3 linked regions of the Macaca fascicularis genome follow. The protein of the gene in region 3 purifies or fractionates together with the protein of the main gene of each other region. This does not show direct contact. Links are inferred from orthologs where the notes say so. Each region holds a gene or a part of one and is shown on either strand. Other genes may lie near its edges.

Evidence for each region.
Region 1: the proteins of OSBPL11 (region 3) and VAPB purify together in Homo sapiens (affinity purification with mass spectrometry; 4 studies listed by BioGRID and IntAct, counting the BioPlex papers as one, with this or other methods). This does not show direct contact. The link is inferred for Macaca fascicularis from reciprocal best matches to the Homo sapiens genes OSBPL11 and VAPB.
Region 2: the proteins of OSBPL11 (region 3) and VAPA purify together in Homo sapiens (co-immunoprecipitation; 4 studies listed by BioGRID and IntAct, counting the BioPlex papers as one, with this or other methods). This does not show direct contact. The link is inferred for Macaca fascicularis from reciprocal best matches to the Homo sapiens genes OSBPL11 and VAPA.

What each region holds. Positions count from the first base shown.
Region 1 is NC_088384.1:114,451,963-114,462,957, reverse strand, and holds the start of VAPB (vesicle-associated membrane protein-associated protein B/C), read right to left. Parts: upstream 5,495-10,995; 5' UTR 5,263-5,494; coding exon 5,205-5,262; intron 1-5,204. UniProt on the Homo sapiens protein: Endoplasmic reticulum (ER)-anchored protein that mediates the formation of contact sites between the ER and endosomes via interaction with FFAT motif-containing proteins such as STARD3 or WDR44.
Region 2 is NC_088392.1:78,297,480-78,306,874, forward strand, and holds the end of VAPA (vesicle-associated membrane protein-associated protein A), read left to right. Parts: intron 1-2,116; coding exon 2,117-2,290; intron 2,291-5,732; coding exon 5,733-5,891; 3' UTR 5,892-6,501; downstream 6,502-9,395. UniProt on the Homo sapiens protein: Endoplasmic reticulum (ER)-anchored protein that mediates the formation of contact sites between the ER and endosomes via interaction with FFAT motif-containing proteins such as STARD3 or WDR44.
Region 3 is NC_088376.1:157,690,371-157,700,603, reverse strand, and holds part of OSBPL11 (oxysterol-binding protein-related protein 11), read right to left. Parts: intron 5,216-10,233; coding exon 4,717-5,215; intron 1-4,716. UniProt on the Homo sapiens protein: Plays a role in regulating ADIPOQ and FABP4 levels in differentiating adipocytes and is also involved in regulation of adipocyte triglyceride storage. Weakly binds 25-hydroxycholesterol. Interacts with OSBPL9 to function as lipid transfer proteins.

The sequences.
Region 1 (10,995 bases), on a different chromosome or scaffold from region 3:
CTTAAATTACACATCAACTTGAAGGGCTGAACTAAAGAGTCTAAGCCAGCTTTTCCTATACAAAAAAACAAAACAAAACAAAACAGCATCTTTAAACTATCATTCAGTGTCCAAGTTTCTATTTTCTCCGAAAAGTGGTACTCAACTACACCGATTCATTGGTGCCCTCCCATCTGATATCCCTAACGGCAGGACTATCTAAGACTTCTTGAAGGCCATTGGTTCAGTCAAGGAGTAAAGCAAAAGTAAATGCGTCCAGTTATGTTTAAATGTTAACTGGCCGGGTGCAGTGGCTCACAACTGTCATCCCAGCACTTTCGGAGGCCAAGGCGGGCAGATCACCTGAGGCCGGGAGTTCGAGACCAGCCTGACCAACACAGAGAAACCCTGTCTCTACTAAAAGTACAAAATTAGCCGGGCGTGGTGGTGCGTGCCTGTAATCCCAGCTACTCATGAGGCTGAGGCAGAAGTGCTTGAACCCAGGAGGCGGAGGTTGCGGTGAGCCAATATCATCACGCCATTGCGCTCCAGCTTGAGCAACAAGAGCAAAACTCTGTCTCAAAAAAAAAAAAAAAACCTTAACCTAGTGAGTATGGATGTTCAACAGACCACTTCCATGCGACAATATCATTGCTAGGGGAACGGGCTAGGGTATAAAGAATGATCTAGAGTCTTGAACTATGACCAAAAAATATGTAAGACATACTATTTACCACAGACGGACTCTCATGGAAGGGGAGGGAGAAGAGAATGACAGAAGAGCGCTACATAATGCCTTGAAAGTGACTCATTTGGAAAGCTCTCTTTAAGCTGGACAACAAGTGGGATCTCAGAGTGAGGAGATGGCATGGAAACATTTAGGCCTTGGAAGAACTGAGATCAACAGAAAGAGTGACAATTTAAAAAAAACTCCTATGACTTAGTGAAAAAGACAAAAAGAAATATAAAAGAAAACACACATTTAGGCTGGGTGCAGTGGCTCATGCCTGTAATCCCAGCACTTTGGGAGGCCGAGGCGGAAGGACTGCTTGAGGCCAGGAATTCAAGACCAGCCTGGGCAACATGGCAAGACTCTACCTTTATAAAAAAATCCAAAAATTAGGCCAGGCGCGGTGGTTCAAGCCTGTAATCCCAGCACTTTGGGAGGCCGAGACGGGCGGATCACGAGGTCAGGAGATCGAGACCATCCTGGCTAACCCGGTGAAACCCCGTCTCTACTAAAAAAATAGAAAAAAAACTAGCCGGGCGAGGTGGCGGGCGCCTGTAGTCCCAGCTACTTGGGAGGCTGAGGCAGGAGAATGGCGTAAACCCGGGAGGCGGAGCTTGTAGTGAGCTGAGATCCAGCCACTGCACTCCAGCCTGGGCGACAGAGCAAGACTCCGTCTCAAAAAAAAAAAAAAAAAATCCAAAAATTAGCCAGGAATGGTGGCACCTGTAGTCCTAGCTACTAGGGAGGCTGAAGCAGGAGGATCTCTTGAGCCCAGGAGTTTGAGGCTACAGTGAGCTATGATGGCACCACTGCCCCCCAGCCTGGGTGACAGAGCAAGACCCTGCCAAAAAACAAAAACATTTACTTTTACTCTCTCAGAAAGATACCCCTAGTCTGAAGGAGCTTAATGTTCACTTACTAAAAATATCTCATGAAAATCAATCTTAAGTCTAGGCAAATCCTCCTGTGTCATGCTTCTTTCAGGAAGCCACCAGGCTTTGTCCTTTCCATATTTATGATGCAGCACAGTACTTCCTATAAAACTGCATAAGGTCATATAAATTTGCGTTTTTTCTTCTGTAACATCCTTAAATTTAATATACCACACAAAATTCCCAAGATTAAAGAGTCTGACAATATACAATCCCATATGATCAACTTAGGCTGCATTGAAAAGATAATTTTTCCTTTGAATGGGCATTTTAGTTATTACCTTCTTAAGTAGTTAGCTCAGAGGTTCATCTAGGTGAACCACCAGAAATCAGAGTCATCACCCTGAGTAACCTGGAAGAAACCAGTTAAATGTGCCAGTTTTCATCCTGAAATGAATTATCTCTAAGTAAGTCAGGGTATTGAGTCTCTATTAATTGTACTGTCTTAGCATTCAGTTTAAAACAAACAACACAACTCATGACGTCGTTTAAAAACACACACAGATGTCTCTTCTAAAGTTATAAGCCAGAGGCCTTCAACAATTTGGTACCATCTCTCTTGGACCACTTCCCCAGCAAAAATATCCAGTGACTTTGGCATTATTACTTTGGCCAATCCAGGGCCAGAATGATCCCTCTTCTCTGCCACACCTTTCAGGTACAGAAGTGATGAAACCACTTAAGTGGTTAAGTGGTTGTCTAATCTCTGTATAGTACTATGCACTTACAAAGCCGCTAACAGCCATGTCATTCCTTTTAAACACTTTCTACAAGAGGCAAGGTGGACATGAGCATCATCCCCATTGACCAAAGAATGACCCCAGGCTTTGAGGAGTGAAGTGGCCTAAGGTCACACATCTTTCAGTAAAACAACTGAACAAAATCTTGAATTTTCTCAAATGAGTGCCTCTTTCCATAACATCCTATTAGACAACAGAGTTTGTACTGGGATTTGGGGGTTTTCAGAAAGTTAATGCAAGGAAGGACTGCTCAAGGAGAAGCAACACAATTTTAACTTGGACACTGGCTGCATCTATGCATAAAGGGACTGAGGTCTGACTCTTGTCTACTCACCAGCCTTGTCTGCCATCTTGCCGGGCAACCACAACAAATTTTCTTTGTTGCTGTCATTCACAACTACTAGTGGTGGCTGGGCACAGTGGCTCACGCCTGTAATCCCACCACTTTGAGAGGTCAAGGAGGGCAGATCACTTGCGGTCTGGAGTCTGACACCAAACTGGCCAACATGGTGAAACCCCGTCTCTACTGAAAATACATTTTTAGCCAGGCGTAGAGGCACACGCCTGTATATAATCCCAGCTACTCAAGAGGCTGAGGCAGGAGAATCGCTTGAACTTGGGAGGCGGGGGTTGCAGTGAGACAGCGCGTCTCTGCACTCTAGCCTGGGTGACAGAGTAAGACCTGCATCTCAAAAAAAAAAAAAAGAAAAAAGAAAAAAAAGAACTACTGGGCATCCCAAAGGAGCCCAGTCATCTCAGTGTTTGTGCCTCTGTGCATGCAATTTCCTCTGTCTGAAATGTTCTCACCCTTTCCTTCTTTGAGCCTTCTTCTACTCAACCTTTATAACTGAGCTCAAATGACACCTCCTTCAGGAGCTGACCTCCTCAATGCTCCTGGGGCACTCTGAACTACCCTACATCATTGTCCTGTCCTGGCTGTTGTTCTCATCTGTCCCCTTCCCTAAAGTACTGGGAGGAGGTTGAGGGAAAATGGGAGAGTACAGCTGATATGACTTGGCTTCTCCGGGTATCTGACACACAGATCAGGTACTCAGTAAATGTTTGTGGACTAACCGAATGAACCCACCAATTCTCAGGAGAAGCCAAGCCAGGCCTCCCAGACAGAAAAAGAACTTCAGACAACTCAAGTGGAAACCATGGCTCACCACTTTAGCCACCTGGCCTCCTTTTCCAATCTGGCGTTCCCAGAAAGCCATGAGCGCATCATGAAACCTCAAGTACTATCCTGGAATTTCGATCCCCGGTAGGTTTGGTGGGGTTTTTTTGTTTTTTTTCATTTTAATTGGAAAGCCTTTGGTTCTCTGTAAATTCAGAGTTATTTCACATTGTTAACTTGGAAGGCAAAGTGACAGCCACCGTTCTGGAGTATTTCCCAGCGATCAGACAGCATAACGGTTAACAGCGTGAACTCTGAAGTCTGGGTTCAAATGTACCACTTGCCAACTGGGTAACTTTGCATAAGTTACCCTACACTACTTCCCAATAAGACATATAAACTGGAGAACCTCTGGCCATTCATTAATACCAGCTGAACATCTACTGTGAGCCCGCTGCTAGCGATATAGTGGAGACCTGACCTTCCAATCTACAGTAAACTTCCATGGAGTCAAACTGTTCCATTTCCTACACAGCACTTAGCACTATCTGCAAAGATCACGTGTGCTGGTTTGCCTGTCCTCGTCGGAAGGTAAGCTCTATGAGAACAGAGGCCTTGTCTGTCTTGTTCATCCATCACCTCCCCAGGGCCTTCCACGTATCTGTAACGATGTTGTGTGCTGGTTTGTCTGTTCTCGTCGGAAGCTAAGCTCTCTGAGAGCAGAGGCCTTGTCTGTCTTGTTCATCCATCACCTCCCTAGTGCCTTCCACATCACTGGATACAAGCAAAAAGAAGGAATGAGCATGTCAGACCTTTTACCTCGTGGCCCTGGTGAAGGTAGGAAAAAAAAAAAAAAAAAAAAGAACAACATAGAAAACATAAAGGCACAAATTACAGAGATAATAGTGTCTGGGAGAAACCAGGGTCATGGTTTCCCACCACCGCAGGTGTTGCTCCAGGCAGCTCTGCGGAGCAAAAGGATCCCAGCACCTTGGCAGCCTCCCTCAGCTGCATCCAGGAGGCACCATGAGGGAGGCAGTGAACGGAAAATGGGACCAATCCCATCAGAAGGCCTGAGGAGGTTCATTTGTTGGTTCAACAGGTATTTCCTAGGCGTCTAATGTGTGCTGGGTACACAGCAGCAAACTGACAAGAGCCTGTCCTCATGCAGTTTCCTTTCTAGTGTTGAAACAGTGATTTTGAGTACGAAAAGTGCGGTGCTGACCACGAAACAGTGACAGAATGGGGACAGCAGGAGAGCAGGTGTGCACGGTGGGCTGGGTGGCCACAGCAGGCCTCTCTGGGCAGGTGATACCTCAACTAAACCCTGAGGTCAACACTGTCACAGAGCAGGGGAAGAACCTTCCAGGCAACAGCAGCGGCGGAGGTTCACACTAAAGTGATCACAAACTGGTCACTAAGTTACAAGGCAAAGTGACAAGTGCCTCGAAGGCAAGTCCCAGGAGGCTGGGGGTCGGGGAGGAGGCACAGGCCCTAGCTCCTGCACCAGTCCTCTAGGGTCCCGGCCGCTCCGCGCATTTCTGGGGCGCGCGCTGAGCGCCAAGGCCCGGCCCGGCCTCGCCGGCCCCCACGACAGCGCCGTCGGGGTGGGGACGAGGGCCGACGTCACCCGCCGCGCCGGACTCCGTCCCTCCAGCACTGGGGCGGGGGCCGCAAGCATGAAGGTGGCGGCCTCTGGGGCTTACCTCGGAACTTGAGCTCGTGCTGCGGCTCGAGGCTCAGGACCTGCTCCACCTTCGCCATGTTCCTCAGCGGCGGAGCACCTTTGGCGGGGAGACCCCTGAGAGGTCACCGGGGCGGGAAGCGTTAATGCCGCGCCCGCTTTAAGTTTTACAAAAAAGGGGGGACCAGTCGGGGCACGGGTGAGGGTCTTCGACGGGGTGCGCGCGCTGGGGGGGGTCGTTCTACGCGGTGCAGGCTCAGGGGCGGAGGGCGAGGGCGAGGCCGCGGTGCCCGGCGAGCTGACGGCACGCACGCACGCACGCACGCACGCACGCACGCACAGGCGTACACACGCACGCACGCAGCAGGCTGGCCCGCTCGGGCGGCGGGAAGCTGCGCCCTGCGCCGCCAGCTCCAGGGGCGGGGACTAAAGCTGCGCGCGTGGAGCCCCACCCGGGACAGTGCGCAGGCGCGGTACAAGCCACGGGGGCGGAACTGCAGGGCAGCAAGGGGCGGGGCTTCGCGCTGCTCAGGAGGCGGGGTTTGTAGTCCGGCTACGACTGCAGCCGCGAAAACTATTAAGGGTCCGCTGGGGGCCAGCCTCGTGTTAAATGCTTTATTCAGTAACAACAATTAGAATAAACTTCCACTTTTCTCTTGCTTATGTAGTGCCAGGCACTGTTAGAGACTTTGAATAATAGTCAAAGTACTTAGTATAAACATGATGTTTATGGGTGAGTGATATGGGCTAAGCACTGTGACGTCTTGTAAATAATAATTATAAATATAATAAACTACCAATTATTGCTTATTTCGTATCACTCTGCTGAATGCTTCCAATGACAACAGCAGCTACAATAAATACAAGCTACTCTACGTTAAATGTTTATTAGGCAACTGGCACTGTGCTGAATTTTTACTAGTAAATTCGATTTGTTTATGCAATAAATATTTAGAAATACAATGATCAGAAAAGCTAACCTGATTCCAATCCTTTTACTGTAGCCTAGTGAAGAGACATTTTGAATAAATAACCACACAAGTAAGTTAAATAATTAAAAATTGCTGGAGAATCCAGATCTGCTTGACCTCAAAAATGGATACTCTACATCATGATTACCGTTTAAATTGTATTTCATTATATCATGTTCACTGTGAAAGTAAAATAGGTGTTCTTAATAGTCTCCTATACATACCAATATAGGTGAAACAAACATGGCAAATTGCTAACAATGGCTGACTTGACATCGCAGGTACATGGTTTTCTTGTACTGTTTCTCCCACTTTTCTGTATACTTGAAATTTTTCATGATAAACAGGTTTCTTGGAAGAATAATCTTTGTATTTTAACTGTAGCATTTAGTCCATTTACATTTATTATATTTACTAATATATCTGGAATTATTTCTACCATCGTATTTTGTTATTTCTACTTGTCCTGCCTGTTTTGTTTTTCTTTTTTTTTTCCCCTTTCTTCTTTGGGGTTTATTTTTATTCTCATTCTTGTTTTCTTCACCTACATACTCTATTTCTAAGTTTTAGTGGTTACTTGAAAATTTTGGGCATGCATGCTTACCTTGTGAAAGTCCAGTATGTTTAAATATTTGTAAAAATGTCTTTACCCTGTTTCCTTAAAATATGAAGACTTCGGAGTACTTTAATCACCCATCCTCTAAATTAGACACCTTAATGTAGTGTATGTTAAGTTTAACCTTTGCCATTTTAACCCCAGGAGACATTATTAAATTGTTTTATACAGTCAACATTAATTTAGATTCAGCCACACAATTACCATTTTTATTCTTCTTCTTGCATCTTAGCTTTCATGAACAGGATCACTCTCCTTTTGCCTGAAGTAAATCCTTTAAATTTTACTTTTTTGTAGGTTTGTTGGTGCAGACCCTCTCAGTTTCTGTTCGTCTGCAAATGCATTCGTTTTTGTCTTTTGTTGTTTTTTATTTATTTATTTTCGGAGATGAGGTCTTGCTCTGTTGCCCATGCTGGAGTGCAGTGGCATGATCATGGCTCACTGTAGCCTGTATCTCCCAGGCTGAAGCAGTCCTCCCACCTCAGACTCCCATGTACCTGAGACTAAAAGCATGCACCTCCATGCCAGGCTAATTTTCTTTATTTTCTGTAAAATCTCACTATGTTGCCCAGGCTGGTCTCAAACTCCTGGGCTCAAGTGATCCTCCAGCCTCAGCCTCCAAAGTGCTAGGATTACAGGCATGAGCCATTGCACCTGGCCTTGTCCTTGTTCTTGAAAGATGTTTTGGCTTCCTTGCTTGAATGACAGCTGTCCTCTCTCAGCACAGTTGATTGCCATCCACTGTTTGCCTGCTCCCCCTCATTGCTCCTCAGGAGTCCAGTGACAATCTTACATCGTTCCCTCATAGGTTGTTGGTCTTTTCCCCCTCTTCTCATGTTCTACAGTTTTACCGTGCTGTATCTTTTTTTTTTTTTTTTGAGACGGAGTCTTGCTCTGTCCCCCAGTCTGGAGTGCAGTGATGCCATCTCAGCTCACTGCAACCTCTGCCTCCCATGTTCAAGCGATTCTCCTGCCTTAGCCTCCTGAGTCTCTGGGATTACAGGCACCCACCACCACGCCCGGCTAATTTTTGTGTTTTTAGTAGAGACAGAGCTTCGCCGTGTTGGCTAGGATGGTCTCAAACTCCTGACCTCAGGTAATCCACTCACCTCGACCTCCCAAAGTGTTGGGATTACAGGCGTGAGCCACAAAGCCCAGCTCATGCTGTATCTTTTTATTTATTCTGCCTTGAATTCTTTGGGCTTTCTGAATTTGGTGATTGGTGTCTTTCATTATTCTTGAAAACTCTCAGACAATACCTTTTTTTTTTTAATTTAATTTTACTTTTTTATTGTGGTAAGATACACATAACATAAAATTTACTATCTTTTTAAAGTATACAGTGGTATTAACATTCCTATTGTTGTGCAACCTCACCATCATCCATCTCTAGAACTCTCTTCATCTTGCAAAACTAGAACTCTGTACCCCTTAAACGGTCATTCCCCATGCTCCCTCTCCTAAGCCCCTGGCAACCACCATTCCACATCCTGCCTCTATGAATTTGACTAGTCTAGGTACTTCTTGTAAGCAGAATCATACAATATTTATCCTTTTGTGACTGGCTTATTTCGCCTAGCATAAAGTCCCCAAAGTTCATCCATGTTGTATCATATGTGAGAATATCTCTTTTAAATGTTATATTGGATGGACACAGTGGCTCACGCCTGTAGTCCCAGCAATTTAGGAGGCCAAGGCAGGCAGATTGCTTGAATCCAGTTCAAGACCAGCTTGGGCAACATGGTAAAACCCCATTTCTACAAAAAATACAAAAAAAAAAAAAAACTAGCCACGCCTGGTGGTGCATGCCTGTAGTCCCAGTTACTCAGGAGGCTGAGGTGGGAGGAGCACTTGAGCCCAGGAGGTTGAGGCTGCAGTGAACCATTATACCACTGCACTCCAGCCTGGGGTAACAGAGTGAGATCCTATCTCAAAGAAAGAAAAAATAAAAATGAATGTTATCTCAACCTTATTCTCTCACTCTTTACATCTTGTAGTGTGATTAGTAGTTATTCAACTAATATTTTTCAAACTGTAGGTTGTTTTCCAATAGTGGCTTATAAAAGCAATGTAGTAGATTGTTACCAGTGTTGAGAAAGAATGAAATAGAATATATTGGAGTGTATTGTATTATTTCATGAAACTTTTGTTTCAGTTGTATTTATTAATATACACATATTTATGGAGTAACAAGTAAAATACATTTATTACTGTGGATTGTGAAAGAAACAGAAGTCTCATACCCTTCTCCATGTCTATTAACCTCTCTATCACATCTTAATCTGTCATCTTTATGTTCCATGTTCCAGATCATTCTTCAGATCTTTCTTCTAGTCACTAATTATCTCTTAGGCTATTGATAAACCTGTTTCAGGAGTTTTTCATTTTGTTTGTTATTTTTTTAAAGTCTATAAGTTCTATTTTGTTCTTTTACATATCCAAGTAGTTATAGGTTGTGCTTTTTTCCTTTTTCTTTCTTTTTTTTTTTTTTTTTGAGACAGGGTCTCCCTCTGTTGCCCAGGCTGGAGTGCAGTGGTGTAATGTTGGCTCACTGCAGCCTCTACCTCACGGGCTCAAGCCATCCTCCCACCTCAGACTCCCGAGTAGCTGAGACTACAGGTATACACCACCACACCTGGCTAATGTTTGAATGTTTTGTAGAGATGGGATTTCACCATATTGCCCAGGCTGGTCTCGAGCTCCTGAGTTTATGCAATCTACTCACCTCAGCCTCCCAAAGTGCTGAGATTAATGGCATGAGCCACTGTGCCTGGCCACATTTATAGGTTTTTAACACTGATTCCCAGCTCCTCTGCCCTCCCCTAGGGAATGGTGCCATAACAGAGCTTTAGTGTTGGTCTCTTCTGCCAGGTCACTTTGGTAAGGGGAAGCCCACGTTCCTAAGCCTATACAGAGCCATCACACCTGCCACCATGACCTCTGTGTAAATAAGCTCATTGAGCACACAATAGCACAGTTGCGGGAAAGGGTAACTGTTGTCTGCAGAATATGCCATCTTGTCCACTCAATTAATAGAGTCGCTGCTGCAGTAGATGTCTTTGAGTGAGCGTTCACATGAGATGCCTGTGTGTGTGTGTGTGTGTGTGTGTGTGTGTGTTTTGTTTTTTTTTCGAGACAGAGTCTTGCTCTGTTGCCCAGGCTGGAGTGCAGTGGCATGAACTCAACTCACTGCAACCTCTGCCTTCTGGGTTCAAGCAATTCTCCTGCCTCAGCCTCCTGAGTAGCTGGGATTATAGTCGCCCACACCATGCCCGGCTATTTTTTGTATTTTTAGTAGACACGGGGTTTTACCATGTTGGCCAGGATGGTCTCAAACTCCTGACCTCGTGATCCACCCACCTCGGTCTCGCAAAGTGCTGGGATTACAGGCGTGAGCCACCACGCTCGGCCAAGACACCAGTGTCTTCACACCCATCCTGAGAGGTATCCAGTACTTCCTCCCAGACCTCCTCACCAAACATCCACATCTGCTCTCTCCATCCCTGATCATCCACTACCCAGGGGCCCGTGCACCTCTGTGCTCTTGGTCATTTCTCAGCCACACAAAGTACACAGCCAAACACACTGCTTGAGATTCTAAATGTGTGAATTCCATTTATGTTGTAATCCTGCAGCCCACCCAATTAAAGTTTGAGTATAATTTTCAGCAAAGTCAAAAATCTACAGCTAGGCCAGGTGCCGTAGCTCATGCCTGTAATCCCAGCACTTGGAGAGACTGAGGCGGGTGTATCACTTGGGGTCAGAGGTTCGAGACCAACCTGGCCAACATAGTGAAACCCCGTCTCTACTGAAAATACAAAAAATTAGCTGGGCATAGTGGCAACTGCCTGTAATCCCAGCTACTCAGGAGGCTGAGGCAGGAGAATCACTTATCCGGGAGGCAGAGGTTGTAGTTAAGCTGAGATTATGCCATTGCACACCAGCCTGGGCAACAAGAGCAAAACTCCGTCTCAAAAAAAAGAAAAAAGAAAAAAAAGAGAGAGAGAGAAAAAAAAATCTATGACTACAAGAAATAAAGGATTATTTAGGGCTCTGTAGAATCTCTCCGTTTCTCTGACTGTGATTTAAGCTGAGAGTTTAAAGATTGGAGCATGTCCTTTGCTTTCCATAATAGCTCCAGTTAACTCAGAAATAGCTGTCTCACCCCATGGTCCTGAAGTCATCACTACCATGTAAGTGTGGCAGTCCCATGGCTCTCCATGCCC
Region 2 (9,395 bases), on a different chromosome or scaffold from region 3:
ATAGAATATTTAATGATACGTCATTTAAAATGATCATTAAAAATGCATATAAATGAATAAGCAAATATGTATGCCCAATTTTATAAAATGTGTGTGGAAAAATAGTAATGTAAATAATAGTTTTGTTGATTTCATGAGATTATGGGAAATGAGTTTTTCCCTTCCCCCCATAATTTAAAATTTTATGCAATGTAAAGAATTTAAAAACAAAAATCTAGTTGTCAAGAGCTTGATGATCTTTGTTTTAGTTTTTTTTCTCTTTGGTGTTGACCCCATGTATGTCTTTTTATCCCCCTTTTGGAGACAGAGTCTCACTCTCACCTGGGCTGGAGTGCAGTGGCAGGATCTCGTCTCATTGCAGCCTCCACCTCCTAGGCTCAAGCCACCTCAGCCTCATGAGTAGCTGAGATTAGAGTTGCACACTACCATGCCTGGCTAATTTTTAGAATTGTTTTTTGTAGAGACAGGGTCTCCCTCTGTTGCTCAGGCTGTTCTTGAATTCCTGGGCTCAAGCAGGCCACCTATCTCGGCTTCCCAAAGTTTTGGGATTACAGGCATGAGACATGGTACCCTGCTTCATCCTCTTAAGTTTTTCGTCAGTTTTCTGGTATGGGTATGATACTTTTTCCCAATTCTTAACTGAAACCTAGAAGTTCTTCTGTTGCCATATTGGTGGCCATTGCCACCTCCTTTATAAAGGAAGTCAGTGTGCCAACTTCATTATCAGAAGTTGGATTTGTGTTAGGATAGAATTTGACCACACTGAAAATCATTTTGAAATGAGTTCTAACTACTATTAAGGAAAATAATAGGAAAATGTATTGGCAGGGTAAGATATATCTGAAGCAGTGTTTTAATAGTAGAGGTGGCTATTATTAGATTGGGGTGGAAGAGATTGGGGTGAAGAACAAAAAAGCTGGCAAGAGAAAAACTCAGAGAAAGAATTGAAGTATGCTTCTTTAATTTAAACCTTTCTTAACTGGGAAGCTTGAAGAAAAATGGAAGAATCTGCCGACAGGTCAAATACATACTGTTGTTGATTAGAACCTCATTATAAATTTTCATTTTTAAATAGATTTTACATGGATTTAGGCATAGTAATCAAATCACATCCCCTTCATAAGAAGAACAAGTTTTGCCCTTTGAGCAAACAATCTGTTTATACTTAATATAAATTTGGCAGCTGGGATGGTGTGTTAGGTGTGCAGCCTCTGATAAATCTTATAAAATGAGTATTGTGGAATGCCATAAAGTTGATTTTGTAAATGTCTTTGTTAGCAGTTTATAGCTGAAAAAGCAGATTTTTTCTAAAATTATTTTAAAGCAAGTAAAAATTTAATTAAAATGAAAAAACTTGTTACTCTAATACTGCTACTATGTGTGGTGACATAAATGCTGTTAGAGTGAAGGATGTTGGGGTACTTTAGACCACAGGCTGAAGAATATGTAGATGCTGTCATAGATATTTATCTCCAGGCCTTCAACACTAACTTCAAATGGTTCAGTGTTGGTTAGGATTAAGATTTTGGGGCTCATAGTCTTCAGAGCATGCTAATTTTTACTGTGATGTTGAATCACGTGGATTAAAGCAAACAGCATTACTAAGATGATAATAGAAGTTAGCTTTTTTGGCATGTTTTTTCTTAGGTAGTTTCTAATTTTATTGGAATGATTGCAATAATATCCCCCTACGCCCCAGAACCTTATTTGAATTGCAGAACCAGAGCATGGAAAATGACCTTCATATTTGGATTTTGTTGACGTCAGTCATTCAGCATACTTGGATTGAATAACTACTCTTGACCAAAGTGCTGGTTTTAGGGGTAAATACAAAGAGAGATGGCTCTTGCTTTCCCAGCCTTTGAAGTGTTATAGGAAAGAACTTGAACAATAATTATTAAGATACATAATAAAGTGCTATGGTAGACGTACATGCCAGCGGTTATGGGAATAGAGGGAGTGGGCTCGTTATTTAGACTAATCTGACTGCTGGCATGTACTGATTTAGGCCTTTTAAAGAGTTTTTCATAAACAAAGATGTAGAATTTATGTTTTTGTTTGTTTAAAACCTGTAAGAAGATTTGGTAAAAAAAATCTCAATATCTTTGTAATACAGAATGACATGGAACCTAGCAAAACCGTTCCACTGAATGCATCTAAACAAGATGGACCTATGCCAAAACCACACAGTGTTTCACTTAATGATACTGAAACAAGGAAACTAATGGAAGAGTGTAAAAGACTTCAGGGAGAAATGATGAAGCTGTCAGAAGAAAATCGACACCTGAGAGTAAGTTCTGTTGGTTGAAAATAAGTTGATTTAAATGAAGGTATAGGACATGTGAGTGTTATTAGGCCATTTTAGCAATTAGTTTTTAAATTTATCCTTGGTCAGTTCTTTCTTGTTTTCCCCAATTTGATTATGTCCTGACCTTTGCTCCCCACCCTACTCCTCTCTTAAAAGTCTTCCTGTGGTTTCTCATTGCCACAAGTTCCTTACCTTAGCACACATTCTAATCATTTGTGATCTGGCCTGCAGCATTGCCAGCTTCAGCTCTTGTTTCTCCTGTCCTTCCCATTTTGTGCCCCAGTCACACTGAACTAGGATTGTGTTGTCCCACATCATAGCCATTAGTCACCTAGGACTGTTGAGCGCTTGAAATGGGATTTGTTCAAATTGAGCTGTGCTGTTGAGTGTAAAATACTGATGTTGAAGAGTTAGTACAGAAAAAGGTAAATTTTTCTTTTTTTAATGGTTACATACTGAAATAGTAGTTTGGGTATATTGGGTTGAATTGAATATATTAAAATGAATTTTACACATTTCTTTTTACTTTTTAAATGTACTATTGGAAAATTTAACGTTACATATGGGGTCACATTTGAAGCTCACATATTGGCGTGGGACAGCGTTGGGCTGGAGTATGCTGGAGAAGCATCTGTTTATCACCCCTCTTTCGCTTTAGTATCAGCTCTTCACTGTGACTGGAAAGGCTCAGAACCCTGTCCCTCCCGACACAGCACATACACATATTAATGTCTTGCTACTATATTCTTGTTGATTTTTCAGTATAGCGTTTGCTGGGACCCTCTCCAAAAGAAAAAAAAATCGATTTGTCCTGTCTGCTTTGTGCCACCACTATGCCGATTGCATTCTACTGCTCTTACTTGTTAGAGGCCTTTCTCCCTCTAGTGGGCAGTAATTTCCTTGGGGACAGGGGCAGTGTTTGATTTCTCTCTGCATTCACCGTACATGCGTGTAGTAGTCATATATTTGATTGAATAAATGGATGGTGAAGGAGGACCGATTTGAATATGTGTGAAATTTATGAATAATACTTGTCTTTGACAAGTAATTGTTTCAAGACCTGAATTCCTATATGTTGCTCTTTAGGCTTTGTCTGAAGCTCTTTGCAGCAACGTAGATGATACAAAAATATATGTAACTAAAATAAGCTAAATGATGGGAGTTATTTGATTATTCCTTTTGTTAGGTGTATATAGGAACTGCACTCTGAACACTGTATCTTAAGTCGATCTGTGAACTCCTTTGCTGAAATGCTTTTTAAAGTGAATTTTTGTGTCTCTTCATGTTTGATACTTCATAGTACCCCCTTGAGGGGTACCCCTCTGCTTCCAAGTGCTTGTCTGGATAGCGGGAAGAATATCTTTATTTCACACCTACACACCATGGATCTTTTAAAGGATTTTGTTGGTTACTTTTACTTCATCTGCCATGACTTCCATAGTTCTGTTCTTTGATAAAGATGTGCTCCTTAGGGTGCTCAATAGCTTTCTTTCAAAAGCCACTGTTTACCTCTGGCATGGAGGGGAGAGTGTAAACAGTAGGAGTGACAGGTGGGGCAGGTCTGGAAAATAGGAAGAATGAACCAGGGAAGTGAGAGAGACTTTATTCCTGGTTTCTGCTCTTTGTATGCTAATGTTCTGTATGAGATTTTATTTGAGAGATGATTCTGCTGTTGGAAAAGTAAAACAAAAAAGCTGTGCTGGGCACGGTGGCTCACACCTGTAATCCCAGCACTTTGGGAGGCCGAGGTGTGTGGATCACCTGAGGTCAGGAGTTCGAAACCAGCCTGGCCAACGTGGTGAAACCCCTGTCTCTATTAAAAGTACAAAAATTATCTGGGTGTGGTGGCGGGTGCCTGCAATCCCAGCTACTTGGGAGGCTGAGGCAGGAGAATCACTTGAACCTGGGAGGCAGAGGTTGCAGTGAGCGAGATCACACTGTTGCACTCCAGCCTGGGCAATAAGAGCAAATCTCAAAAAAACAAAAAAAATAAAACAAAAACCTTGGAGACCCACTGGCTTACAGAATTTCAGACCCTTTAGCATTTTATACACAGGCCCATCATAATTTTTTGCCATGTTAACTTTCTTGCTCCTGTCTGTTCACTATCCGTTTTAATTCCCCTAGCCCTATGGTTCTTAATTCACACTGCATGTGAATCACCTAGTGAGCTTTAAAAAGTTACAGTTTACCAGGCCTTCCCAAGACCTAATGAATCAGAATCACAGGAGTATCAAAAGTTCTGTAGATGTTTGTGATGTGTAGCTGAAACCGAGAATTACTACTGTTTTTATATAGAACTAATTAGCATGAGACCAAAAAAACCCAACTCCAGAAAATCCAGTAATGCAAATAAAACTGTGCCATTAGGTGTACTCTTTTAGTTAGTGTTTATTTATAAGCACAATAAAACAATCATGGGAGGTAACAGACACAGATAAAGACAACTGCATAGTTAACAGGTAGTAGTATTTTTCCCAAGGTTCACATTGCACACAGTGTCGTAACAACCTCCTGCCTGGAGTGACTTCTGCTTTCTTCTGAGAAACCTTGTCCTCTAAGGACATAGTGCTGTGTGAAGCCATATCAGCAAGGATGAAGCAGCCCACTCTTGACTGGAGGATCTGTCGTTTTGACACAGAGAAGCACCCTCAGTTTCCATTCCAGGTGCAGAGCTTCAGATAAGGGTTTCCTACATACATTTCTCATCTAAATTTGTAGTTCCTGAAGAAACAGTATTCTTTCTCTGCTTTGCAGTCCAGACCTGGTGCTATCCCTTTACACACAGCCCTCTGCTTTGCTTTGAGCTTGTGAAAACACTGTTACTTAAATTTCACGCTAAACCGTTTCCTTCCCCCCAAATTCTGTGACAACCGTATCTGTGTTTTTGGCAAGAATACCCTCTTGTGGCTCTGCTGTTTCGGTTCCTTAGTTGCAGTGGGTCAGTCAACCCAACTGGCAGACCACGGGTCCGGTAGTTTTTGACTGGGCTAGGACAGATGTAACTGATTTTAAATACCATGGGCCGCCTTGGAAGTACTCTTCTTTAATTATGTTTTTAGTGGGATTAAAATAAAAGGTAAATATAGCCATATCTGACTTTTATTTTTTAGGAATACATTTCTCAGCTCCAGTTTTAAAAAATCAGTGTTATTGAGGTATAATTTATATCCCATGGAGACACCCACTGTGAGTGTACAGTTCACTGAAATACAGAACTTTATAACTGTCACTGTAGTTCAGTTTTAGAATGTCCATCACCCCCGGAAAGTTTCCTTATGTGGTTAGCAGTTAATCCCTGTTTCTGTCCCCAGCCATAGGCAACCACTAATCTACTTTCCGTCCCTATAGATTTTTAGCTCCAGTAGTCTCATTAGTATGCTTGTTTTTAAAAACCTCTTTTGTGTGTTTGTTTTTTTCCTAGGATGAAGGTTTAAGGCTCAGAAAGGTAGCACATTCGGATAAACCTGGATCAACCTCAACTGCATCCTTCAGAGATAATGTCACCAGTCCTCTTCCTTCACTTCTTGTTGTAATTGCAGCCATTTTCATTGGATTCTTTCTAGGGAAATTCATCTTGTAGAGTGAAGCATGCAGAGTGCTATTTCTTTTTTTTTTCTCTTGACCAGAAAAAGATTTGTTTACCTACCATTTCACTGGTAGTACGGCCCGCGGTGACCATTTTTTTGTGTGTACAGCGTCATATAGGCTTTGCCTTTAATGATCTCTCACGGTTAGAAAACCCAATAAAAACAAACTGTTCGGCTCCTGGACAAATTGTATAGTACCGATCATCACTAGCAGATGTCAGTTGCACATTCAGTCCTTTATGAAATTCATAAATAAAGAATTGTTCTTTCTTTGTGGTTTTAATAAGAGTTCAAGAATTGTTCAGAGTCTTGTAAATGTTATTTTAATAATCCCTTTAAATTTTATCTGTTGCTGTTACCTCTTGAAATATGATTTATTTAGATTGCTAATCCCACTCATTCAGGAAATGCCAAGAGGTATTCCTTGGGGAAATGGTGCCTCTTACAGTGTAAATTTTTCCTCCTTTACCTTTGCTAATATCATGGCAGAATTTTTCTTATCCCTTGTGAGGCAGTTGTTGACTGAGTTTTTCATCCTTACAATCCTGTCCCATGGTATTTAACATAAAAAAAATAAAACTGTTAACAGATTCTTGCTCGATAGCTTGTCTGTGTCTGTCGTGTTATTGGAGGGGAGTCCACTATATATGGTCACTTGAAATTATGATGCAAAGGTTTGTCTTGCATTGAAACCCTCTCGGATATTACAGTGTTTTTAATTGAAAGTCCTAATTCTGTTCAGGAAAGGAGTTGATTAAATTTTGAGGTACTGCTGGTATTTTGGGAGATTATAACCAGTTTGTTTTCAAGATAACGGAAAATAAGGTCCATGAGAATAGAAGTTATGTGATTTCAGTGAGTTGACGTGTACAGCATGGCTGTGCTCCATCTGATTTTTACCCCATTCTTAAGTTCTGAGAGTATGTTCTCAAGGAAGATTTAACTCTCCTTGGTTTTAAAGTACTTTTTAACCAGCCTAGTAAGTCTTACTACTTTCCATAATATTTCATAATAGTTAAAAGTAGGTGTTTTTTCCTGCCCAATTTGGCACTCAAAATAATGTTCATTATGGAAGTTTGGTAATACTGAGCAAGCCTGTGGAATTTTCTTTATGAAAAATGATTTTGTCCTTTGCAAATGTTAAACCATGTGAAACACATTTTCAGTATAAGTATGTGTTACAGGGTCTGATATTTCCTGCACTTAGATTTGTCCTGTGTCTTCATTTATTCTTACTAGGATAGAAAATGTTGGAATCAGAAAATAGATCCAGTTTTTAGCTACATACGATCTAGTACAAGTGATTTTTTATTCTTAAACATAGGTGTTATTTTTTTAAAAGATGCGCTCTACCCGAAAAGGAAATTGGATTTTAGAACTGGATGTGGTGAAGTATTTTAGGCCCAGATCTGTGTACACATTTTATAGAAGAGTGAAGTATTCTGAAGTATTTTGGTTGCCTTTTCATTTCAACTGTGTTTTGAATTTGTCAGATGATACATACATTGTGTTATTGTGTGCTGTGGTATCTTTTATGTGCTGTGGTATTTTTTTATATCTCTTGCTTGTGTGCAAGTTGCTAAAAAGAAACACAAGTAATGTCTATCCATTACTAGCATGCTATGCTGCAGGTCATATTTCCATTGCTATATGCTTTACTGTTTTTGTGAAAATCCCCCCCTCCCCTTTTCCGGTAACTGGAAAAGCATGCTAAAAGGAGTCTTATATTTTCACCCCATAAATGGAGAATCAGTAATTCCTTGGCTTAAAGCTCTTATGTAATCAATATTATTGGTGATAAATAATCAAGTTTGGTATCTCATAGCGATCTTTTTTTTTAAGAAATGAAGTTCTTGAAAATTTAGCCAAATTCCGTTTTATGGGAATGCTCCTTAGAATTCATTTTGTTCAGTCCCTTTGTTTTATAGTTGAGAAATCTGAGGCCTTACGAAGGTTAAGAGAACTTTCCCCATGTCTCACAGGTAGGTAGAGGCAGAGCTGGAACTAGAAATCTGTTGACTCTAGCTCAGTGTCTTTTCTGATAACTTGAAAATTGTCTTAGTTTGAGAGATGGCTGAAATAATGAACATAAAATGCTATTTATAATAACAAGTATATGTGACATTTCCTATTGTAAGACTACTGCCGGCTTACTGTTGAATAGTTTGGTTATAGTGTTTAGGCTAGACATGCTTCCCACATTGGTAATAAATAACATTACAAAATACAATGTATTTTTAGGTAGGCATTTTATAAAATGCATTATGCCATGGTTGCTTTTGAGATAGATTGTAGTCTGGGTAGCATCTTTAAAATGTATGTGGGCTTAACTGTTGTTCATATCAGGAGATGCTCTGATTGTATAGATGAGACTGTTTCTGTTATTTTTATTGCTGTATGAAATGTGATCAGATTATTTTACTACCAACAGTTATAGTTTGAAACTGTATTAGTTGACTGATAATATGATAATATAGAGATTAAATTGTCTTCATTCCTTACATGTTTAGAAGTTTTTGCTTTATCTCCCTGCTTACTTGTATATGTAAGCATGAGGGAAATACACTGTTGATAATACTGAAATTACAGTCAAGTAACTAAGGCCTTAAGTTCATATGTGACACTGAATGCACTAGCTTCTTTTGTTCTATAACTAATGTACCTTAACTTCCCTCATTCTTGTATTTACAAGATACTAAGAAGTTATGTTCTGAGTGTGTGGTATGTTCCCTTAAAAAAAAATGACACTTGGAAGAAAAATGTATGAAATTCAGAAATTCCGATCAAAGAAAAGTAATTTTCTCTTGTCTTTCTTTCTTTCTTTTTCTTTTTTTTTTTTTGAGACAGAGTCTTGCTTTGTTGCCCAGGCTGGAGTGCAGTGGTGTGATCTCACCTCACTGCAGCTTCTGTCTCCTGGGTTCGAGTGATTCTCATGGCTCAGCCTCCTGAGTAGCTGGGATTACAGATGTGAACCACCAAGCCCGGCTAATTTTTGTATTTCTAGTAGAGACAGGTGTTTCACCATATTGGCCAGGCTGGGCTCAAACTCCTGAATTCTGCCTGCCTCGGCCTCCCAAAGTGCTGGGATTACAGGTGTGAGCTGCCACACCCAGCCAAGAAAAATAATACTCTTAAATATTTAGCTCAGATGTTCACCTAAAGTTGATATTATTTGGTATGGGAATTACTTTTGAACTGTAATCTTTCAGGTGATACCACTTTGAAAACAAGTTTTAACAGTAAGGTAAAAATATAGTTCTTGAGGGTGTATTCCCCACTTGTGATCTTCTGCCACTTTAAAGACATTCAATTAATAGTTTTCCTAGAGCTTTGCATATTCCCATTCACAGATTTTTAAAATTTCATCCTTTATTAGTGGGAAGGATCAATGCTTACCATTTGGAAAGACAAAGATCAGAAGGTAAATAAATTATCTTTATTTTCTAGCTTTAAAGGGAAATTAAACTATTCGTGAATAAACTGTTTAAAAATGTGAA
Region 3 (10,233 bases):
ATGGTCATAATAATTTTGTTTGCCAAATTATAAAATATTTATGGTGAAGCTAGAAGAGATAACAGTGGTGGTTTTCTTTTTTTTTTTTTTTTTTTTTTTTTTTTTGAGACGGAGTCTTGCTCTGTCACCCAAGCTGGAGTGCAGTGGCTGGATCTCGGCTCACTGCAAGCTCCACCTCCCGGGTTCACGCCATTCTCCTGCCTCAGCCTCCCGAGTAGCTGGGACTACAGGCGTCCACCACCTCGCCCGGCTAGTTTTTTGTATTTTTTTAGTAGAGACGGGGTTTCACCATGTTAGCCAGGATGGTCTCGATCTCCTGACCTTGTGATCCGCCCGTCTCGGCCTCCCAAAGTGCTGGGATTACAGGCTTGAGCCACCGCGCCCGGCACAGTGGTGGTTTTCAAACAAATGTTATTCTAATGGAGAAAGGAGCCTGTTCCATATTAAGTGATGCTAATTAAAGATGGTTTAAAAGGTTTTATAAAAAGGGGACTACATTAACGAATAATCACTCTATACTAGATAATTAAGGGATACTAAGGATACTCAAGCTACATTACTAACCTTCTAAACTCATTACCTGTGTCATCAACAGACCACATATTGAAGTGGATATGTACTACTAGTCCAAACGTTTATGGCATCTCCCTTTTAATAAATGCTCGTTAAGCACTCACTTCTTAATGTTCACAAATAAGGGGACGTGTTTAAATATTTTAATATAGTCAATTTTTAGGATATGCGAAGAGACAAAATGAGATTCTAAAGTAGCCTACATAAAGCAACATCAACTATTTTTTTTTGTATTGCTCTTAGTCTTCACAAAGGGCAACAATAAATTAAGGTTTATTGAACCATTTCATAAAATACATGGTTCTGGCTATAATATATTTATACATAATGAGAGCTGTCAGATGACAGACAACATACTTGTATATATTTTAAGTCTTTTTTTTTTTGAGACGGAGTTTCACTCTTGATGCCCAGGCTGGAGTGCAATGGCACAACCTCGGCTCACTGTAACCTCTGCCTCCCAGGTTCAAGCGATTATCCTGCCTCAGCCTCCCAAGTAGCTGGGATTACAGGCACCCGCCACCACACCTGACTACTTTTTTTGTATTTTTAGTAGAGACAGAGTTTCACCATGTTGGCCAGGCTGGTCTTGAATTCCTGAACTCAGGTGATCCACCCACCTCGGCCTCCCAAAGTGCTGGGATTACAGGCATGAGCCACCGCACCCAGCACCATTCCTGATTTTTACTTACTTTCTGTTGCGGATATCGATAACCATTTAATTTCCAATATATTCCACTAATATATAGCAGCACAATAAAAAATTATTTACATACCTCCTTTATAATTAAAGCATGGTTAAGATATGAATGCTTTTCTCCATTTCTTTTTTAAAAAATTTTACATTTGAGACAAGGTCCTCCTCTGTCACGCAGCTGGTGTGCAGTGGCACCATCACGGCTCACTGCTGCCTCAATTTCCCGAGCTCAAGTGATCCTGCCACCTCAGTCTCCCAAGTACCTGGGATTATAGAAGCAAGCCACCATGCCCAGTTAATTTTTTTAAATTTACTTTTGCAGAGATAGGCTCTCATTATGTTGCCCAGTCTGGTCTCCAACTCCTGGGCTCAAGCTATCCTTCCACTTTAGCTCAGCGAAGTACTGAGATTACAGATGTGAGCCACTGTGCTCAGCTTTTCTTCACTTCTTGAAGTATTTCCTTTCTTGTAGTGTGAGAGGCTACCATTCCCAGATTCTTACTGTTACATGAACTGGTAAGACTAACTGTCCTTTGGAAGAGTGTCAAAGAATATGATTCTAAATGTGTCGATTCCTTAACCTTTATGACCTTAGACATGTCTCATCACCTCTAGACTTTTTTCTTTCACTTATAAAATAAGCAAATTGATCTATGAAGTGCTTAAGGCTAATGTTATGGAGTTTATAACGAAGGGTAGCAAACTTTTTTTTTTTTTTTTTGAGACGGAGTCTCGCTCTGCCGCCCAGGCTGGAGTGCAGTGGCCGGATCTCAGCTCACTGCAAGCTCCGCCTCCCGGGTTCACGCCATTCTCCTGCCTCAGCCTCCCGAGTAGCTGGGACTACAGGCGCCCGCCACCTCGCCCGGCTAGTTTTTTTTGTATTTTTTAGTAGAGACGGGGTTTCACCGGGTTAGCCAGGATGGTCTCGATCTCCTGACCTCGTGATCCGCCCGTCTCGGCCTCCCAAAGTGCTGGGATTACAGGCTTGAGCCACCGCGCCCGGCCAAACTTTTTTTTTTAAACTAATAAAATATGAATGATTTCAGCTGGGTGTAGTGGCTCACTTGAGCTCACAAGTTTGAGACCAGCCTGGGCAACATGGCAAAATCTCTTCTCTACAAAAAAATACAAAAATTAGTTGGGCATGGTGGTGCATGCCTGTAATCCCAGCTACTGTGGAAGCTGGGGTGGGAGGATGGCCTAAGCCTGGGAGGCAGAGATTGCAGTGAGCCGAGATGGCCCCACTGCACTTCAACCTGGGTGACACAGCTACACAACGTCACACACACACACACACACACACACACACACACGAGAGAGTACTTTCTAATGTTATAAAAGTTGTAATTAACTTGAAATATTATTTGGAAATTGGTAAGACATACTACAACAGAACTTAAAAATGGGGAAAACTGAAAAAGAGGATATTTTCTTCATAATGACTAAAACACAATCTCAAAATATTAGAGTGACAGGCTTAAATGCTGCCATGCTTACATTGTAAAATGACATTCAGAGCAAAGTGTTCTTTGCATAAGCATTTTCCTTTAACATAAAAGTGGTAGTTTTTTTCCTGTCATTATATTTTCATTAACTCTTCAATAATTTCTGTGGAGATTTTTGTTTTTGTTTCATATTCTTGGTCAAAAAACACTGTATTTCCAAAAATAATTTTTTACAATCTTCTGATGAAGTAGAATTAAATTTTATCAGTATGTATTTTTAAATATTCTATGAATAGCACCTAAATATTCTATGAATAGTACCTCTGGCCTCCATCTCCTAAAGTGCTGATATTACAGGCTAATGCCTGGAGGTAGAGGCCAAAAGATCACTTGAGCCCAGGAGGAGTTCATGACCAGCCTGGGCAACATATTGAGACCCTGTCTCTAAAAAGAAAAATAAAAAAAATTAGGCTAGCATGGTGGTGCATGCCTGTAGTCCTAGCTACTTGGGAGGCTGAGGCAGGAGGATGGCTTGAGCCGAGTAGGTCAAGGCTGCAGTTAGTTATGACTATGCTACTGCACTTCAGCCTGGGCAACAGAGCAAGACCCTGTTTCTTTTTTTTTTTTTTTTTTTTTTTTTGAGACGGAGTCTGGCTCTGTCACCCAGGCTGGAGTGCAGTGGCCGGATCTCAGCTCACTGCAAGCTCCGCCTCCCGGGTTCACACCATTCTCCTGCCTCAGCCTCCCGAGTAGCTGGGACTACAGGCGCCCGCCACCTCGCCCGGCTAGTTTTTTTGTATTTTTTTTTTAGTAGAGACGGGGTTTCACCATGATAGCCAGGATGGTCTCGACCTCCTGACCTCGTGATCCGCCTGTCTAGGCCTCCCAAAGTGCTGGGATTACAGGCTTGAGCCACCGCGCCCGGCCAAGACCCTGTTTCTTAAAAAAAAAAAAAAAAAAAAATACATTAAAAAAAAAAGATTTACCTATTTTTTTGTGATTTTTATAATAATAAAAATTTGGGACCAACCTCAATGTCCAAATAAAGGGAAATGTTTAAATAAAAGATGGAAAATATATTTCATAGAATATTATGCAGTCATTAAAATGTTTTATTAATGACATGAGAAAACAAATATATTTAATTAAAAAGCAGGACACAAAACTATATATTATTAATTCTAATTTTATAAGGCTAAAAGTCCTGAATATACACACACAGAAAAAGTATAAAATATTAAATTATATATATATATATGGATGCAGGCATTACAGAAGCTTTTATTTTCTGCTTTGTACTTTTCTAGTTTTCTAAATATTTGATAAGAAATACTTAAAATCGCCAGGCACAGTGGCTCATGCCTGTAATCCCATCACTTTGGGAGGCCGAGGCAGGTGGATCATCAGAGGTCAGGAATTTGAGACCAGCCTAACCAACATGGTGAAACCCCGTCTCTACTAACAATACAAAAATTAGCTGGGTGTGGTGGCATGGTGGCAGGCGCCTGTAATCCCAGCTACTCATGAGTCTGAGGCAGAAGAATTGCTTGAACCTGGGAGGCAGAGGTTGCAGTGAGCTGAGATCGCGCCACTGCACTCCAGCCTGGGCGACAGAGTGAGACTCCATCTCAAAAAAAAGAAAAGAAAGGAAATATTTAAAATCAGAAAAAAATAATTTAAAAAGAGAATTTACATTAGTTCATAGATATACTCCTCCCATCCCCCCCAAGAAGCATTCTGGAACACTCTAGGAATTGGAGCTAAAAATTAACTTAACATTTTAAACTTATAGTTAATATTTATCTAGGGTTCCTAAATTTAAGATTGTAGTTTGATATTAAAAATTGTAAAACAGGCACTTGACCTTCACGTGCCTGCTTGGGTTTCTTCCAAACGAACTATCCTTTCTTTCCTGTTCTAAAGCCTTTTTAAATAAACTTTCATTCCTGCTTGAAAAAAAAAAAAATATATATATATATGTAAAATAATTTTTCTACTTACCTTCTCCAACCATTGTCACGCCTATTGACATGCCTAAGAACTTGCTCTTAGTCCAGACATGCGCGTTTACACACATCTTCCTCTCTGTACATTCTGCATAAAATCCTGAGACTGGAGGATGATGAGAAACCTGCTCAGCAACAAATCTGACTGTATAACAGTCTGCTCCCACCTGGTTCAAAGACTCCTCCGATAAAGGAGCATGATTTGTGACTCCCTGGGTGGAAGAACTGCTAAAAACACTGGATGCTACCTCGCTTTTTGGCATCCTCCAGGAACAGTGAAATGTTTCTCCAATGATAGGATTGTATGGTTTTTTAGCAATGGCTCCCTTACGGCCTTCATGAAATGAGGTAAGGTAGTACTCAACAAAGCGAATCATTCTGTCCTCAGCTGTGGCTCCATTAGTGATGGCTATAAATAGGTCTGGATGAGACATAAAGTCTGCATACATTTCCAGCAAGGAACGCTTCTCTAGGATAAATGTAGGAAGCACCACCTAAAACAACAACGACAATCAATGAAAGAGGGGAAATTTAATCCATGTGTAGCATATCTGTAGACAACTGTTCTCTCTCTGAAAACATTTCATTCTAGATGGGTATTAAAAACAAAGTCATAAAGAAAAAGTGTTTAGTCACATTAAAAAATAAGCATTCTTGGCCAGGCACAGGGTCTCATGCCTATAATCACAGCACTTTGGGAGGCCAAGTTGGGAGGACTGTTTCAGCACAGTAGTTCGAGACCAGCCGAGGCAACATAGTGGAACCCTGTCTCTATAAAAGATACGAAAATTAGCTGGGCATGGTGCCTTGTGCCTGTAGTCCCAGCTGCTCAGGAGGCTGAGGTGGGAGGATCACTTGAGCCTGGGAGGTCGAGGCTACGATAAGCCATGACTGTGCCACTGCACTTGTACCTGAGCAACAGAGTGAGACCCTATCTGGAAAAAAAAAAAAAAAAAAAGCATTCTTACAAGGAAATGCAAACCTGCCCAAGATTAAACATAAATTCAAGAGGGTTAGAAGAAACTTCAAAAAAATCCTCAAACTTCTAGACTGGATAAAAGTATCACCAGGGAAACAGCATTAAAACTCAAAGTAAATGTTAGCCTGCCTTTGCTCCTTTCCTATGTTAAAATTAAATTGTAGATGAATGACCAAGACATGAGAAGAGTCAATAAATGTCATTCCCTGAGAACAGACTAAAGAGATCACAGACCGAAGCAAAAACTGCAACATATATTTAATCTTAAGTACAAGAGAACTATTTCCAATAAGAGAACTTTTTATACTTAAAACCAGGTAAGTGTAAGAAAGATTAAGTATTTTACTTAAAGCAGAGTTCGGAAAGGCACTGCAAAATGGTTCAAACCTGTGAGAAAGCAAAATCTGGCAATATTTTTCGAGAGCCCTAAGATGCTCTTAACTATTTAGCCTAGTACTTATTATTCTAAGAATCTAGCCTTAGGAAATAAATAATTGAATGAAGGAAAAGCAATGTGAAAAAATAATTAGAACAACCTCCATTTTGAACTATGGTTCTAGCTAACTGAAGTAGGGAACTTTCATTTAATGACTATTATAGTCATTTAAAAAGATGGTTTTGAAGATGATATAAATAATACAAAAGACAGTGGATGTTGCAGGTTCAGTTGGTGAACTGAATACATGCATCTTAATTTCATTTTCTACCAAAATTCCACTGAAATTAAATAAACTTCATATAAAGACAAACCCAGAGATACCAGGAAAGTAGACAAAACACAACAAAATTTTGAGAGTTCCTAACGAGAAAGCTGAAACTCAGGCAGTAGATTACAACATGCACAGATTCCTGAAAAGGCTCAGGAGCTGACAGCACTAGGTGCCTCTGGATCTGGGGGTTCACAGAAATGCTAAAATAAAAATAACTGAGTAAAATCTGTATGGAAAGCAATTAGATGCCTAACTCATACCCCCAACTCCACACTGTTAGTAACTACCCTCTTAGACCTCAAAGTCTAGAGGTTTAGCCTCCGGATAAACAAGGTGGTCTATTCTCTAGACTGGAGAATAGCAAGGAATTCTAAGAGAGAGGATACCAAGTGATACATAACAAGGGCATTTAATAACTTCATGTAAACTAAATGCTAGCTATTAACACCCTCTCTCATGCAGCCTTCTTCTCCTTTTTAACTACTTTTGGACTCACCAAGTGCGAGATGAAAAAAAATTTTTTTTTTTTTTTGAGACGGAGTCTCGCTCTGTCGCCCAGGCTGGAGTGCAGTGGCCGGATCTCGGCTCACTGCAAGCTCCGCCTCCCGGGTTTACGCCATTCTCCTGCCTCAGCCTCCCGAGTAGCTGGGACTACAGGCGCCCGCCACCTCACCCGGCTAGGTTTTTGTATTTTTTTTTTTAGTAGAGACAGGGTTTCACCGTGTTAGCCAGGATGGTCTCGATCTCCTGACCTCGTGATCCGCCCGTCTCAGCCTCCCAAAGTGCTGGGATTACAGGCTTGAGCCACTGCGCCCGGCCGAAAAAATTTTTCTTCTGGGAAATTTGACTAAACCTAGAGGAAAAACCTAATGATACTGACACCAAGTTTCCCAACAAATGGCCCATCCAGATTATGGGACAATGAAAAACATAGGCGCCACCTATGTGTTGAAGCTTAAAGTCAGGTTTTAGTTTCCCTAAACTTAATTGTGAGCAGAAAAGAAATACTGATTTCCGAGAAAACCTCTAACTAGGAATATAAAGAACAAAATAAAGAAACGGATTTGGAGAAACAGAAACCTCAAAGGAGGGGAAAAATAAAAACAAAAAATAATATCTTCAGAGAATTAAGAAGATATTATATACATACAACAAGAATGCTTTTTAAAAAAATCAGTACATTTAAAAACATAACAATAATTAAAAGTCAAAAGAAGGGTTAAAAGATAAAAGGTGAAGAAATCTCCCAAAACACCAAAGCCAGACAAAGAGAGAAAAAGAAAAGTAGGAGAGAAAAATAAAAGACCAGACCAGGAAGTCCAATGGCCATATAATAAGGATTTCAGAGAAAACAAACAAACAAACAAACAAAAAATTGGAAGAAAAATCATTGTGATGGTTAATATTGAGTGTCAACTTGATTGGATTGAAGGATGCAAAGTAATGTTCCTGGGTGCATCTGTGAGGGTGTTGCCAAAGGGGAATAACATTTGAGTCAGTGGACTGGGAGAGGTAGACCCACCCTCAATCTGCGTCGGCACCATCTAATCAGCTGCTAGGATAAAAGCTGGCAAGGGAACATGGAAGGACTAGACTTGCTGAGTCTTCTGGCCCACATCTTTCTCCTGTGCTGGATGCATCCTGCCCTCAAACGTCGGACTCCAAGTTCTTCACTTTTGGACTCTTAGACCTTCAACCACAGACTGAAAGCTGCACTGCTGGCTTCCCTACTTTTGAAGTTTGGGAACTCAGACTGGATTCCTTGCTCCTCAGCTTGCAGATGGCCTATTATGGGACTTCACCTTGTGATTATGTGACTCAATACTCCTTAATACACTCCCCTTTATGTATCTATCTATCCTATTATTTCCATCCTTCGAGAGAACCCTAATACAATCATCAAAGAAATAATTCAAGAAAATTGCAGAGAACTCAAAACCATGAGTTGTCACACTGAAAAGGCCCACCAAGTACCCAGATACAACGGATAAAAGAAATCTACATCAATGTCATAATATCAAGACATGACAAAGAAAAGATTCTAAACAATTTTGGAGAGAAAAACTACAAAACAAGTCACAAACAAAAGATTAGGAATCAGAATGACTTCAGTCTTTTCATTAGAACCCTGTAGCAAGGAGACATTATAAAAGATAATTATTTAAAAATAACAAATTCTTTTTTTTTTTTTTGAGATGGAGTCTCACTCTGTCACCCAGGCTGGAGTGCAGTGGCGTGATCTCAGCTCACTGCAACCTCCACCTCCCAGGTTCAAGTGATTCCTGTGCCTTAGCCTCCTGAGTGGCTGGGATTACAGGCATGTGCCACCATGCCTGGCTAATTTTTGTACTTTTAGTAGAGATGGGATTTTGTCATGTTGGCCAGGCTGGTCTCGAACTCCTGGCCTCAAGTAATCTGCCTGCTTCGGCCTCCCAAAGTGCTGGGATTACAGGCGTGAGCCACTGCACCTGGCCACAAGCAACAAATTCTATCTAAACCAGCAATGAAACATGAAGGCAACATAGACATTTCAGACACACATGTTCACATTTTCTTCTTACAAATCTTCCTGAGAAATTAATGGAGGATGTATTCCAACAAAATGAGAGGCAACCAAGAAAGAAGAAATGGATACAGTAAACAGATTTAGCCAAAGAGAAAGCTAAAGGAAATCCTGGTCCAGATTAGAGTGATGTGACTCAAGAGACAGACATACTGAAGACTGTCATCCACACGCTTCATGCTGCCATTGTATCATCTTTTCAAACCTGAGGATAAAAAAGCCTAGTGAAACTGATTCCAAGTGTATCTGTATTTGGCTTGTGTTGACTATCCGCTGGTGAAATTCTTACTCTCCTCTCCATGTTCTGCTGTCTGGATTGGCTGAAGATGCTCATTTCCCCAACAGATGCCTTCTAACTTCAATCTATTCCTGAGAGTTGGAGGTAGGTCACAGTTTGCTCTGAAACTGAGAATACTGAGCAGTTCACTTCCCCAGCCCACATTCCTCCTGCAGCTGGCTCACACCAAATGCTCTGGGATGTATATTTTACAGGACTCGCAACTTTGCCTTCTAATTTCACTACAAAGGGCTCTTCTAAACTTTCTCAATAACATAAAAAGCTAAAGCCAGAGACTCAAATGTTTAACTTATCTTTTTCTGGGAGCTGTTTTCTACAAATGGCAACGCAGTCCTTTCCTTATGCTAAGCTTATGTTAGCTATTCATTTTTTTCTAAACATCATTATGGAGTACAAAAAAGCAGTAAAACCATAGCAAAAAGTAGAGGGATAATTGACACAAAAGTAAAGTAAATTGTTATGTGGAAGAAAAAGTAGAGGACTATAACTGAGAGGGGAACTCAGAGATTCCAAGTTCAGGCAATGTTCTATAGCTTAATATCAGAGGTAGATACAAGGGTATTCATTTTATCTTTTTTCTTTGAATGTTTATATGTATTCCATTCAGTCTTCTGTGTGTTTAACACATTTCACACACACAAAAATTAACTGAAAAAAGGAAGTAAAACAAAACTGCATATAAACTATGACAAAGTGAAGAAAGATTAGACAGGAATACCAAAAGTGAGAGCTGTGTTATGTTAGGGTAGTGAAATGATAGATTTTCTTTGGTTTTCTAAAATTTTCTGTGTTTACACTAATTTCATATTATTATTTAAAAAGGAACAAAATGAACAGTAGGGAAAGTGCATATTACTTATTCACAATATGAAGGTTAGGACCATGGTTATCTTCTTTGTTGCTGTCCCAAGAGCTAGCACAGTGTCTGGAATATAACAAGGGCCCAGTAAATATTTGTTAAG